Callithrix jacchus: one gene and its partners. The main gene of each other region encodes a partner of the protein of the gene in region 2 in a complex. Links are inferred from orthologs where the notes say so. Each region holds a gene or a part of one and is shown on either strand. Other genes may lie near its edges.

What was found.
Region 1: TRAPPC9 (region 2) and TRAPPC12 share a complex: the UniProt entries of both Homo sapiens proteins name them as parts of the multisubunit TRAPP (transport protein particle) complex. The link is inferred for Callithrix jacchus from reciprocal best matches to the Homo sapiens genes TRAPPC9 and TRAPPC12.
Region 3: TRAPPC9 (region 2) and TRAPPC8 share a complex: the UniProt entries of both Homo sapiens proteins name them as parts of the multisubunit TRAPP (transport protein particle) complex. The link is inferred for Callithrix jacchus from reciprocal best matches to the Homo sapiens genes TRAPPC9 and TRAPPC8.

Annotation. Positions count from the first base shown.
Region 1 is NC_133515.1:111,639,085-111,643,295, forward strand, and holds the start of TRAPPC12 (trafficking protein particle complex subunit 12), read right to left. Parts: upstream 2,867-4,211; 5' UTR 2,785-2,866; exon of another isoform or gene 2,748-2,784; intron 1-2,747. UniProt on the Homo sapiens protein: Component of the TRAPP complex, which is involved in endoplasmic reticulum to Golgi apparatus trafficking at a very early stage.
Region 2 is NC_133517.1:57,087,657-57,091,305, forward strand, and holds part of TRAPPC9 (trafficking protein particle complex subunit 9), read left to right. Parts: intron 1-541; coding exon of another isoform or gene 542-551; coding exon 552-1,135; intron 1,136-3,649. UniProt on the Homo sapiens protein: Functions as an activator of NF-kappa-B through increased phosphorylation of the IKK complex. May function in neuronal cells differentiation. May play a role in vesicular transport from endoplasmic reticulum to Golgi.
Region 3 is NC_133514.1:74,973,463-74,977,111, forward strand, and holds part of TRAPPC8 (trafficking protein particle complex subunit 8), read right to left. Parts: intron 1,224-3,649; coding exon 1,149-1,223; intron 670-1,148; coding exon 543-669; intron 1-542. UniProt on the Homo sapiens protein: Plays a role in endoplasmic reticulum to Golgi apparatus trafficking at a very early stage. Maintains together with TBC1D14 the cycling pool of ATG9 required for initiation of autophagy. Involved in collagen secretion.

The DNA of each region.
Region 1 (4,211 bases), on a different chromosome or scaffold from region 2:
AAACAACTTGGTATTACCTAGTAAAGTTTAAAAAGCACAAATCCTATCACGTAGGTAAGTATACATCTTGATTTTCCCCAGAACGATTCAAGTTTTCACCCATGGTCTAAGTTATTACTATTATTTTATCAGTATTATTATTTTCTGAGACACAGTCTCGCTCTGTCACCCTGGCTGGAGTGCAATGGCACTAAGGTGGCTTATGCAGCCTCAACTTTCTGGGCTCAAGCCATCCTCCTGCCTCAGCCTCCCAAGCAGCTGGGACTACAGATGTGTGTCCCCACACCCAGCTATTTTTGTATTTTTCATAGAGATGGGGCCTCAATATGTTGATCAGGCTGGTCTTGAATTTCTGGACTCAAGAGATCCTCCTGCCTTGGCTTCACAAAGTGCTGAGATTACCGGTGGGAGGCACTGTGCCACAGGTAAAATCATTACGTGTCTCCTTTCACTCTAAAAGGAGTCTTGGTTGAAACAATAAATACGCGGTCACAGCACCTAGGACCTAGTGCATTGTTACATACATACCATGGAGGAATTCCTGTACGTGAGCAGCGTAAGCTATGATGTTGACTTTCATAAACAAATCAAAATACCTTTCTTCTAAAGCCCTAAAAGAAAAAGTGGAAATAAACACTGCCTGTAGACGAAATAATAAGTAAATAAGTAGCATGGTATACTAAAACAGAAAATATTGAAACAGTGGTGAAAATCAGTGAACTGTTCCATATCCAACACATCAATGATGTTTGGATCTCACAAATTAAAATTTGCACAAAGAATGAGTAGAAAAATAAACAGCATGATTCTGTATATTCAAATGTAAATTAAACACAAATGTTGAATTCAAACACATTTTTTTGCGTTAGGAACACAAACACATTTGGTCAAACTGAAAAGAAAAGCCAGGATACAGTAAAAACCACTATATACCCACTATAGTGAAGGAGGGGTGGGAGGTGATGGCATGAGAATTTGACTGGGGAGGGACACATGTGAGTTTCACAGCAGTGGCAAGTGGTCCCATCTCATGCTGGTAACGGAAGACTGGGTTAACTTGCTCTTTAAATCTCACGAGTTACAGGTAGTCTTTATCTTTCATAATCAAAAATGGAAAAACACAGGTATCTGTTCTTGATTTGTACATAAGTCTTTACTCCCTCCTGTCATGGACTTTAGTTTTATTAAACCATAAATGGAATTTTAAGCTTACATAAGCTTTGCATCACAGTGCAGCAAATAATCTGACTTTTTCCTTGTCTGAGGGCTTTGCACAAGACTGTGCTTAACTGTTTACATTTTTTAAAAATACTAAATTTAAGTAATTCTGTATTTGAGAAATAAAAAGTTCCTAATAACATTTAAGACTTGTTTTCTCAGGTTCATTTTCTGGACACAGACATTGTGAATATAAATCTTTTACCAAATTGCAGTCACATGAAATTTCTTTCCATAGGGGCACTAGAGTGTGTAGTGGAAATCTAGGTAGCATGTATTAATAGAAGTCTCTAGGTAATGAACACTCACTACAGATCTAGCAGTTTATCTGTATTATTTAATACTCATCATAAACTTATGAAGTATTATTATTACCTCCATCATACAGCAGAGAAGGCCAAGTGATTTGCCTAACGTCACACTGATGATACCTGATGGTGACAGGCTACCCACACAGGGTTTCCTGCCAATAACCTTTTCTCTGTGCTGGTCACCTCTCCGCTCTCTTGGCAATGTCGCTAGGCAGGGATGGGCAGAAAGAGCTCTGAATGCAGGGTCTCAGTAACTGCGTTGAGTCTTAGTTTCACAGCCAAGTGAAGTGACCCCTGAAAATCTCCAACTTTTAGAAGAGACTGGTACCTCAGAATAAAGAGGATTAAGCAGTGGTGCCCATGCACGGACATCTTTTAAAGTGTGAAGAGCTGCACAGATACAAGCATAGCAATTATCATTTTAACGAGAAAGCAGAATGGCAGCACAGTTTAGTCACCGTGAAGATCCAGTTAGAAATAACTGAATGAGTGACACCGTGACTGTAATATTTCATTTGCATCTTCCCTCTCCCACCCCAATCCCACATAGGGGCCTGGCTCATTATTCACCGCTATCTTCTGAATTTACGAAAAGAAGAATGTTTGAATCCAAAAATACCATGTCTTCAAGTAAAGGTACAAACCGTAGGTCCAAGAAAATTTTTCCTTGGGGCCACTAAAGTCTTGTAGTCAAGAGTGGAAAAATGACACGTTAAAACAAATCTTTGACGCTATCGCTTTCTGTCGAATAAATGCTTTTACCGTCTTCACCGTAGATATACTCTACATATTTACTGTGAAGCAACAGCGGACATTTACAGTGACTGAAATGCTTTCACGCTGCATTGCAGCCTCACAACGCTGAGTTTGGCAGGGCAGGTCATTAGTAACCTCTTTCCGCACGAGGGTGAATTAAGCCTAAGAGAAGTTACGGGGCTTGCTGGGGGCCAGGCTGGCACCGAGCCTGGAGTTGGGGGTTTCGGGGACGCCTGGGCTCGCCAGCGGGCAGCTTCCCCTCCCTGCAACCGCCACGGGCTGCGGAGACGCTTCCAGCCTCTGCAGACGTGGAGCGCGAGGGCCGCGGCAGCACCGAGCCTGGCACAAGGCCCGCGGAGCGCAGACGCTCTCGGGTGGGAGGCGACCCGCGCCCGGACCCCACGCCCACAGCATCCGTCCCAGAGAAGAGCCCCCGGGCTGAGCCGAGGCCTTGATCCTCACCTGCCACCCGCCCACTGGGGCTGGGGGAAGGGGTCACCTGCGGCCGTGACCAGGGTCCGGGAGGAAGGTGACAGTAGCCAGGAATCAGGGAGCCGAGCCAGCACCCGGCGGCCTTGTGCGCCTGCGCATAGCGGGCCGCCGCGCTCCTACTTCCGCGCATGCCCGATGCAGGAAGAGGTGGCCCTAGCCCCAGGCCGGAAGTGGGGTTCGTTTCCGGCTCGTCTGCCGTGGGCAGGGCCTGGAGCCCAAGGTCTGAACGTGCCCAGAGAACCAGGAGTCCGTAGTTGAGGGGAACGGACCCTGTGGTTGGAAATGGGAACAGAGACTACACTCAATCTAGCCTGATGCTATCACTCAGAGGCAATAGGCAAGCCTGTGGCAGATGGGGCGGATGAAACGGAAACGCTTAGGCTATTCCTCTTGGCCAACATAACCTAGAAATCAGTGTTTCTAGGGATTTGTCTTTGTGTTTATCTGTATTTTCTACGTTTCTTACCATGCACCAGCAGTACTTGTATAATAAAATTGATGATACAGATAATATCAATGATAGGTGGGTGGATTTAGTCCCAAAGCATGAAGCCCCTCTTGGCTCTGCCAGGTAATGTCAGCAAACAGTGGCTGAATAGGAGTCTCACGTCTTGGCCATTGCTTACTTGAGTTTTAATGTAATCTCTAAAATTTCACCCACTCAACAGATATTCATCCAGCCTTAACTCCATACCACGTGCCGTGCAGGGTACAACTGATCAAAACCAGACCCAACCATTTCTGTCACGAAGATCAATAAAGGGTAGAGGGAAAAGCTAAATAATCACAGATATGAAGGAAAGGTGCGTGGTCCTGGAAACCCCGGTGGAACCTGGATAGCGGCGTCGTTCGGTATGATGTAGTTTTGAGTCCTTGTAATGCCATTTCTGCTGGCCCAAGGCCAGGGCAGGCACTTTGGGCAGGATGCGCAAGAGGGGCGGTCTCTCCACCAGAAATCTTCAGTCTTTGGAGACCCCTAGAAGCCCCAGGGTCTTCCCATCTGAGTCTCATTCGGAAGCATATGCTGGTCTTGTACTACCAGTGGTGCGGCGCTGGCTTTCATGATAACCCCATCCTTGGTAGTGCTTCTTTTGCCACACAGGGCTGGGCACCTGCAGAAATGCATTAGGTATGACCCTGACTTAGGGCACCTTTGGCCGATCCTAAGGGAGTCAGACAGCTGAAGTGCACTACTCAGGCCGGGTGTGGTGGCTCACGCTTATAATCCCCAGCACTTTGGGAGGCCGAGGCGGGTGGATCACGAGGTCAAGAGATCCAGACCATCCTGGTAAACAAGGTGAAACCCTGTCTCTATTAAAAATACAAAAAATTAGCTGGGCATGGTGGCGCGCGCCTGCAGTCCCAGCTACTCAGGAGGCTGAGGCAGGAGAATTGCTTGAACCCAGGAGGCGGAGGTTGCGGTGAGCTGAGATC
Region 2 (3,649 bases):
CCATGTTGACCAGGCTGGTCTTGAACTCCTGACCTCAAGTGATCTGCCTGTCTCAGTCTTCCAAAGTACTAGGATTACAGGTGTGAGCCACTGCGCCTGGCCAAGCAGGTTCTATTATCACCATTACTTTGTAGCTGAGGAGTTTCAGGGAGCTTGGAATTCAAATTCAGATCTGATTGCATGGTGGTTTTTTTCATTATATCCTGTTCAGGGGAGGGGGAGCAATTACACATGTGTTTATTCGTTCACTCAGCAGACATTTTTGAGCACTGACTCTTACTACTCCTGGTTAGATGGTGGGAATAGGAAGACAAGAAGCAGCCCCGTTTCTGCAGAAGCTCCAAGCTGAGGCTAAGGGACTGAGCATTATCATCAGAGCTGTGACAGCAACGTGTAGAGCCCTAAGAACTGTTGCCGTCCTGGCTTTCCTTGGGGCTTACCCCGCCTCCCGGTAGTGAACGTCAGAGTCACTGCCTCCCAGAGTGGGCTCTCAGCACTTGGGACTGTGTGTCTCAAAGCCTCCTTTCTTCTCTCTGAACAGGGACTTCAAAATGAGTGTCCCTGACTACATGCAGTGTGCTGAGGACCACCAGACGCTGCTCGTGGTGGTCCAGCCTGTGGGCATCGTCTCTGAGGAGAACTTCTTCAGGATCTATAAGAGGATTTGCTCTGTGAGTCAGATCAGCGTGCGGGACTCCCAGCGCGTCCTCTACATCCGCTACAGGCACCACTACCCACCCGAGAACAACGAGTGGGGTGACTTCCAGACCCACCGCAAAGTCGTGGGCCTCATCACCATCACAGACTGCTTCTCCGCCAAGGATTGGCCGCAGACCTTCGAGAAGTTCCACGTGCAGAAGGAGATCTATGGCTCCACGCTGTACGACTCCCGGCTCTTTGTCTTTGGGCTGCAGGGGGAGATCGCCGAGCAGGCACGCACCGATGTGGCCTTCTACCCCAACTATGAAGACTGCCAGATGGTGGAGAAGAGAATCGAGGACTTCATTGAGTCCCTGTTCATTGTGCTGGAGTCCAAGCGTCTGGACAGAGCCACAGACAAGTCTGGGGATAAGATCCCTCTTCTCTGTGTCCCGTTTGAGAAAAAGGACTTTGTAGGACTGGACACAGACAGCAGGTAAGTTTACCTAGAGACCCAGGCCCCTTGGCTTCCCTGCATCAGAAGGGGAAAGCACATGGCAGAGTTTTGTTGCATCAACAAGTAGAAAGGTATTGTCCATTGGTTTCTAAAACTAAGGACTTTGTGTCAGAATCTGTTTGAGTGCTGCTAAAAAACCAGCCAAACAAAACCCAGTGACTTTTAAAGACAGAGACGGGCTTTGGTTTGGGGGAGTCTTTTGGAGTTTTCTTGTACACTCCCCTTTTTTACTGGGGGTCCCCTTTTGGGACTCCTGGAGCTCTGTCCTATGCAGCAGCTACAGCCAGGTGCGGCTTTTGGGTACTATACACCAGGCTAGTTTGAGTTGAGATGGGCTGTGAGTAAAGGCCATGCCGGATTTTGAGACTTACTTCTGAAGAAGTAAACTTTCTTGCTAATTTTGTTTTTTTTGAGACAGAGTCTCTGTCGCTGAGGCTGGAGTGCAGTGGTGTGATCTCAGCTCACTACAATCTCTGCCTCCAGGGTTCAAGTGATTCTCATGCCTCAGCCTCCCGAGTAGCTGGGACTACACGTGTGCAGCACCACACCTGGCTAAGTTTTGTATCTTTAGTTCAGACAGGGTCTCGCCATGTTGACCAGGCTGGTCTTGAACTCCTGGCTTCAAGTGATCCACCTGTCTTGGCCTCCCAAAGTGTTGGAATTATAGGCGTGAGCCACTGTGCCTGGCCAACTTTCTTGCTGACATGTTTTATATAGACTGCATGTTGAAATGATAGTATTTTCCGTATCTTAGGTTAAATAAACTATATTTTAAAAATTAGTATCGACTATTTGATTTTTACTTTTAAAAATGTGGCAACTAGAAACTGAAATTTACTTAGGTGGCTTGTGTTTTATTTCTGCTGGACAGCACTGTGCTAGAGCACAGCTGGAACACTTTTATTCAGTCTCATCCCTTTGGTTCATAGATGAGAGGGTGAATCTGGAGAGGCAAGGACCAGATCCTAGCTGAGCTAGAAGTGGAGCCCACGTCTCCTGATTCCCAGGCTGGGCACCCTGTGTGTGTGGCTACTTTTTCTTTCCTGATGGCCGCAGCGTCGAATTCCTCACTTACAGAGCAGCCAAGCATGGGCATCAGGATGCCAGAAATACCACCAGGGAGCTCTTTAACAGCTACGTTACACAAACGGAAAGGATGCCTATTCTCTCTGTGTACAGGGAGTGTTGGATAGGGCAGGAAAAGGTCAGTTTCCCATCTTGCCTGTTATTAAGTCAAAAACTTTATTTCGAATCTGAATCACTGATGAGGTCTTCTTGCCACGTACTTCCACTCTCTACTCACTGCCCTGTCCTGCCACGGTGGCTCTCCGGCAGAGCTGGATGGGATACAAGCTTAGGCAGCAACTGTTTGCCAAGAGGGCATCCTCATTTGCCAGGGAAAGTGAGGTGTCACTCACCAGCCTCCTGGCTGGGGCAGGGCTCTCCTTCCGCCTGTGTAGGCTTGGCTGATGAGCCATAGGTGCGGAGTCAATGATGTAATGTGCGTGGTGCCATAGTGCCTGCCGCAAAGTAGATGTTCAGCATGTTTCTTAAATTTGTCTAAGGTCAGATGGTATACTTCTTTCTGGTTGTTGGTCAGTCTGAGGAGAAATGATCACAGAATTGACAGACTGAGTCCAGGCCTCAGTGTTGGAAGCATAGAGTAGCCTCAATCACACCTGCCTGTGGTGCTTTGCAGGGTCTGGAAGGAAAGAATTTTCATTTCTTCATCCAAATGTGCATATGTGGCTTAAGGAAGGGGAAAGGCGTGTTGTAGAGCTGCTCTGTGTTGAATCCTCATGCAGCCCTGCGATCCATCCAAATGGGATTGCTGTGGTGGCTGATAAGGGGCTGGAGCAGCAAGGTTTAGAGGCCTGGGCAGCCAGCGAGCAGCAGAGCTGATGTAAGCACCGGGTCTGTCTCTGAGGCCCAGGGCCTTTCCACCTCATCTCATGGCCTTCTGCTGTGCCTCCTGTGCCTTTTGAAGAACGCACACTGCTGTCCAGCCAGCAGGCACCTGCAGAGTCATCCCTGATAAGGTGGTGCTGTATGGTGTGCACCACTTGGCGGCCACCTGCAAGGTCGGCAAGGAGCAGCCTGCCCCTGCTTTACAGAGAAGGGGTGAAGGCTGAAAGCTCATAGGCAGCATGGGTCAGGAACCCTGCTCTGACCCCTTGATTTTTGCCTTCCTCCTTTGCCTCAAGGGCACCAGTGACATTTTTCAGTCATCCACTTCTCGGCTATAAGGCTGCAGAGCCACCTTTGAATGCCAGGTCTTTTTTGTCTTTGAAATCTGGGCTCACCACTCTGCAGGAATAAGAGTGTGCTGGAACACAGTGCCTCACATATAGTGGATAATGATTGACAAGTGTTGGTTGAGGGGCTTCATGTGCCAGGCATGGCTCCAGGCACTGAAAATACAGTGGCGAATAAAGTTGCTTGCTCACGCTAGTGGGACAATTGCAATTAGACATCAGTTAGCACTTGAACTTC
Region 3 (3,649 bases), on a different chromosome or scaffold from region 2:
CAAAGAAAACTATGTTAAATACATATATCTTGTAGTATGTGTAGAACATACTGTATAGTGCACCAAGAATATGAGATTAACACTAAAACCCTATGCTTTTTTTCAAGACAGAAGATAGAACTTTAAGATATTTAATATCCAATGATGTGAAAACACAGCTCTTTAATCTGTTCCATGATTTATAAAAAGGAAATATTCAAAAAATAGAACATACTAATATGGTTTTAAATTGGCAGCAGACAATCAACGGTTAAAATTTACTTAGTTAGAATTTACTAAATTTGCATCAATAACAGAAAAAAATACATACAGTCTAAAAATTATCAAAAGAAAATATATCAGAAGGGAATCAAGTTGTTTATTTTTGACACTATGTTAGAGATTAAAATAATCTAAATTTGTCATTCTTACAACTGGCTAAATGCCTTTACGTAAAGGTACAGTAAACCTAATTAGAAAATACCTCATTATTGCTCATTTTTTTTTTCTATGGAATGATTTAAGCAAGTTTTCTAATTGTTTACCAATGCTATAGCCTTTACCTGTGTGACATCCGGGAAGAGCACCAATGCCATCTACTGTCACAGAGCCCTGAATAGTGCCAAGATTATAAACAACTCCCAGAATATGCAGCTCCCCTATGTGATGGGGAAAGAGCTTTAGTCTTGCCTGTGGAGATATTTAAGTCACTCTTATTATGCTTTCATAATATCTTAAATAGCACAATGCCTAATTCTATAATGTTGCAAAAACATAAACTTATGACCCAAACTTTAAAATGCCAATTAATTTATGAAAAGCATCTTCTTCAAAATAAAATCTCTAAATTTAACAATTATAGGCCTAAATCCTCAATAATCACTTTTCATAAAAAGCAAAATAGTGTGGCCAACTAAATATCAGGTGAAATTACCACACTGACATCAAGAAGAAAGCAAAAACCATTCAACAGGCTTCTCAGGAAACTAATGAATCAAAGACCACTACAAACCACCAATTTCCTCCTGAGTAATTCCTGTTTCCTAATCTTCCAAATTTTAGTTCTTATGAAAATTAGAATATAAACTGAATAAGTGAAGATGATTTTAAAATTTGTTTTCATCTTACTTTCAGAAAGGCATAAAGCAGAGAAATGATAAAATAATTACCACTTTTGATTCTTCACCATTAATTAAGAATTCTGAAATAACTTCAGTTCCAATCATTTCAGGTTCACTTGTAACCTAAAAAATAAATTTCATAAAACATACAGTCTAATGATCAAAAAGCAGATTATTAACACTCCCATATATATCAATACTCCAAAACAACAGCATTAAAGTCTGCATTTACTAGGTTTTTTTTACCACATGCTAAGCTCTACACAGAGTGTTTTTATTTCCACACCTAGAGTAAACCCAGGCTGTAGTAGGCCCTCAACATATGCACTCCAGCCTGGGTGACAGAGCAAAACTCTGTTTCAAAACCCGGGGTTGGGGCGGGGAGCCTATTGAAGATATCTCCACCAAGACAATAAAAAACCCCTGGAGAAAATACCCAGCTGCTCATAGGCAACAATGGCCAAAATGGTCATTTAATTTAATTTTACAATAAGAGCAAATTTCTTCTTTTGCTCTGACCAGACTCTTTTGCAAAATTCATCAGTTACATAGAAAAGGTAATGGTGGGCTAAGCATGATAGAGAAAGACAGGTGAACAATAAGAGCAGTAGGAGAGAGGGGGGAAAGGCCTGTTTTCCCCAAAGCAACGACATTTGTCTTGTCATGTTGCAAAGAAGAGTTAACTGGCTTATACTGGAGATAAACCTGATCCTCATGAACACTATTACACTTTTACCATGACATTATTTAACACAAGAAACCAAAATTATGTCTCCCTAAATTCCAGTTAAGCATCTTAGTCCATTGCCATCTTAGTCCACTTCTTCATTTCTTAGTCATGAAGAAATCCAAAGAGTTTGAAATTTATAGAAAAAAAGAGTATTTTTTAAGAAATACTTCATCACATAAAATGAAAATGTTCACTTATCTTTAAATCTCCTTTAAAAATCTCCCATAATGAACAGACTAATATACTTTAAAAAGCTAATAAATGTTTTAAAAAAAAACATTTCCAAGTTTAATTGCTTGTACTTTTTTTTTTTCTTTTGAGACGGAAGTCTTGCTCTGTCACCCAGGCTGGAGGGCAGTGGCATGATCTCAGCTCACTGCAACCTCCACCTCCTGGGTTCAAGCGATTCTTCTGCTTCAGCCTCCCAGGTAGCTGGGACTACAGGTACCCACCACCACACCCAGCCAATTTTTTTTATTTTCAGTAGAGACAGGGTTTTGTCATGTTGGCCAGAATTCCTTAACGTCATGATCTGCCCACCTTGGCCTCCCAAAGTGCTGGGATTACAGGTGTGAGCCACCACACTCAGCCATACTCTTCTAATCAGTATTCAGGCTTCCAAAACTTTAGAAAAAATGCAGAGTTTGCTAAAATTCAAGACAGGATAGGTACAGCCTGAGAAATCTCAGTCATTCAAATTATCAACAATGATTATAAATAACACAAAATATCTTCAATAAATTTAACCAGCAAGACTTATTTATTTATTTAATTTTCTTTGTTTGTTTTTTGTTTTTGAGACAAGATTTTGCTCTGTCTCCCAGGCTGGACAATGGCATGACCTTGGCTCACTGCAGCCTCAACCTTTCGGACTCAAGCAATCCTCCCACCTCAGCCTCCCAGGTAGCTGGGACTACAGATGTGCACTGTCACACCTGGCAAATTTTAAATTTTTTTGTAGAGATGGAAGTCTCACTATGATGACTAGGCCAAAGCAAGACTTAAAATAAGGCAATCTTTAAAAAATCAAAACACTTGAGCACCAAAATGCTGGGGTATTTTCCAGTTCCAAAATCATTTTTTTTTTTTTTTTTGCCACATTATTAAAGCATTTAGCAAGGTTGTATAAAAAAGCAAGTTATGTAATACATACTGGTGAATAAACTAATAAATTAGTAGGTAAATTATATGTATTTGTCCAAGTTATTTCATTTATAGTCAGATAGGGATTAATAAACTATTTGACCAGATCATTTCTGCTTCAAAATTAACTATTTTAGGTATATGTAAAGGACTTATTACAAGATATGGAAAAGAAAAAAATACAAATTATGTTTTGAATAGGCAATTCACAAAAGAGGAAAAACAAAGAGTTTCAACGTCACTAGCAATCAATGAAATAAAAAATAAAACAGTAATATGGCATTTTTTAAAATATCAAATCAACAAAATTTTTTTTAAGTAACACTGCTGACTATCACAAAGATGAGACACTCAAACCCATATGCTGCTTAGTAAGAAGCTCATTGGTATGAACTTCTGTGAAACCAGGAGGGCACTAAAATACTCATTCCTTAAAATCCTCCCTTCATGCCCTGGGATCTTCCCCACAGAATAATCTAAAGATAAAAAGCCACACACAAAAATGTGAACCACAGAATTATTGTGATAGTCAACAAATGGGAACTTGCCAAAGATAGTAAACTAGCTTATGAATCACTCATATAATGAATTAGGCAGAAATAAAATATTAAGACATGTTAATATCAGAATATGCCAATAAAGCGTAGAATGTAAAAAGCAACTACATACTATGAAG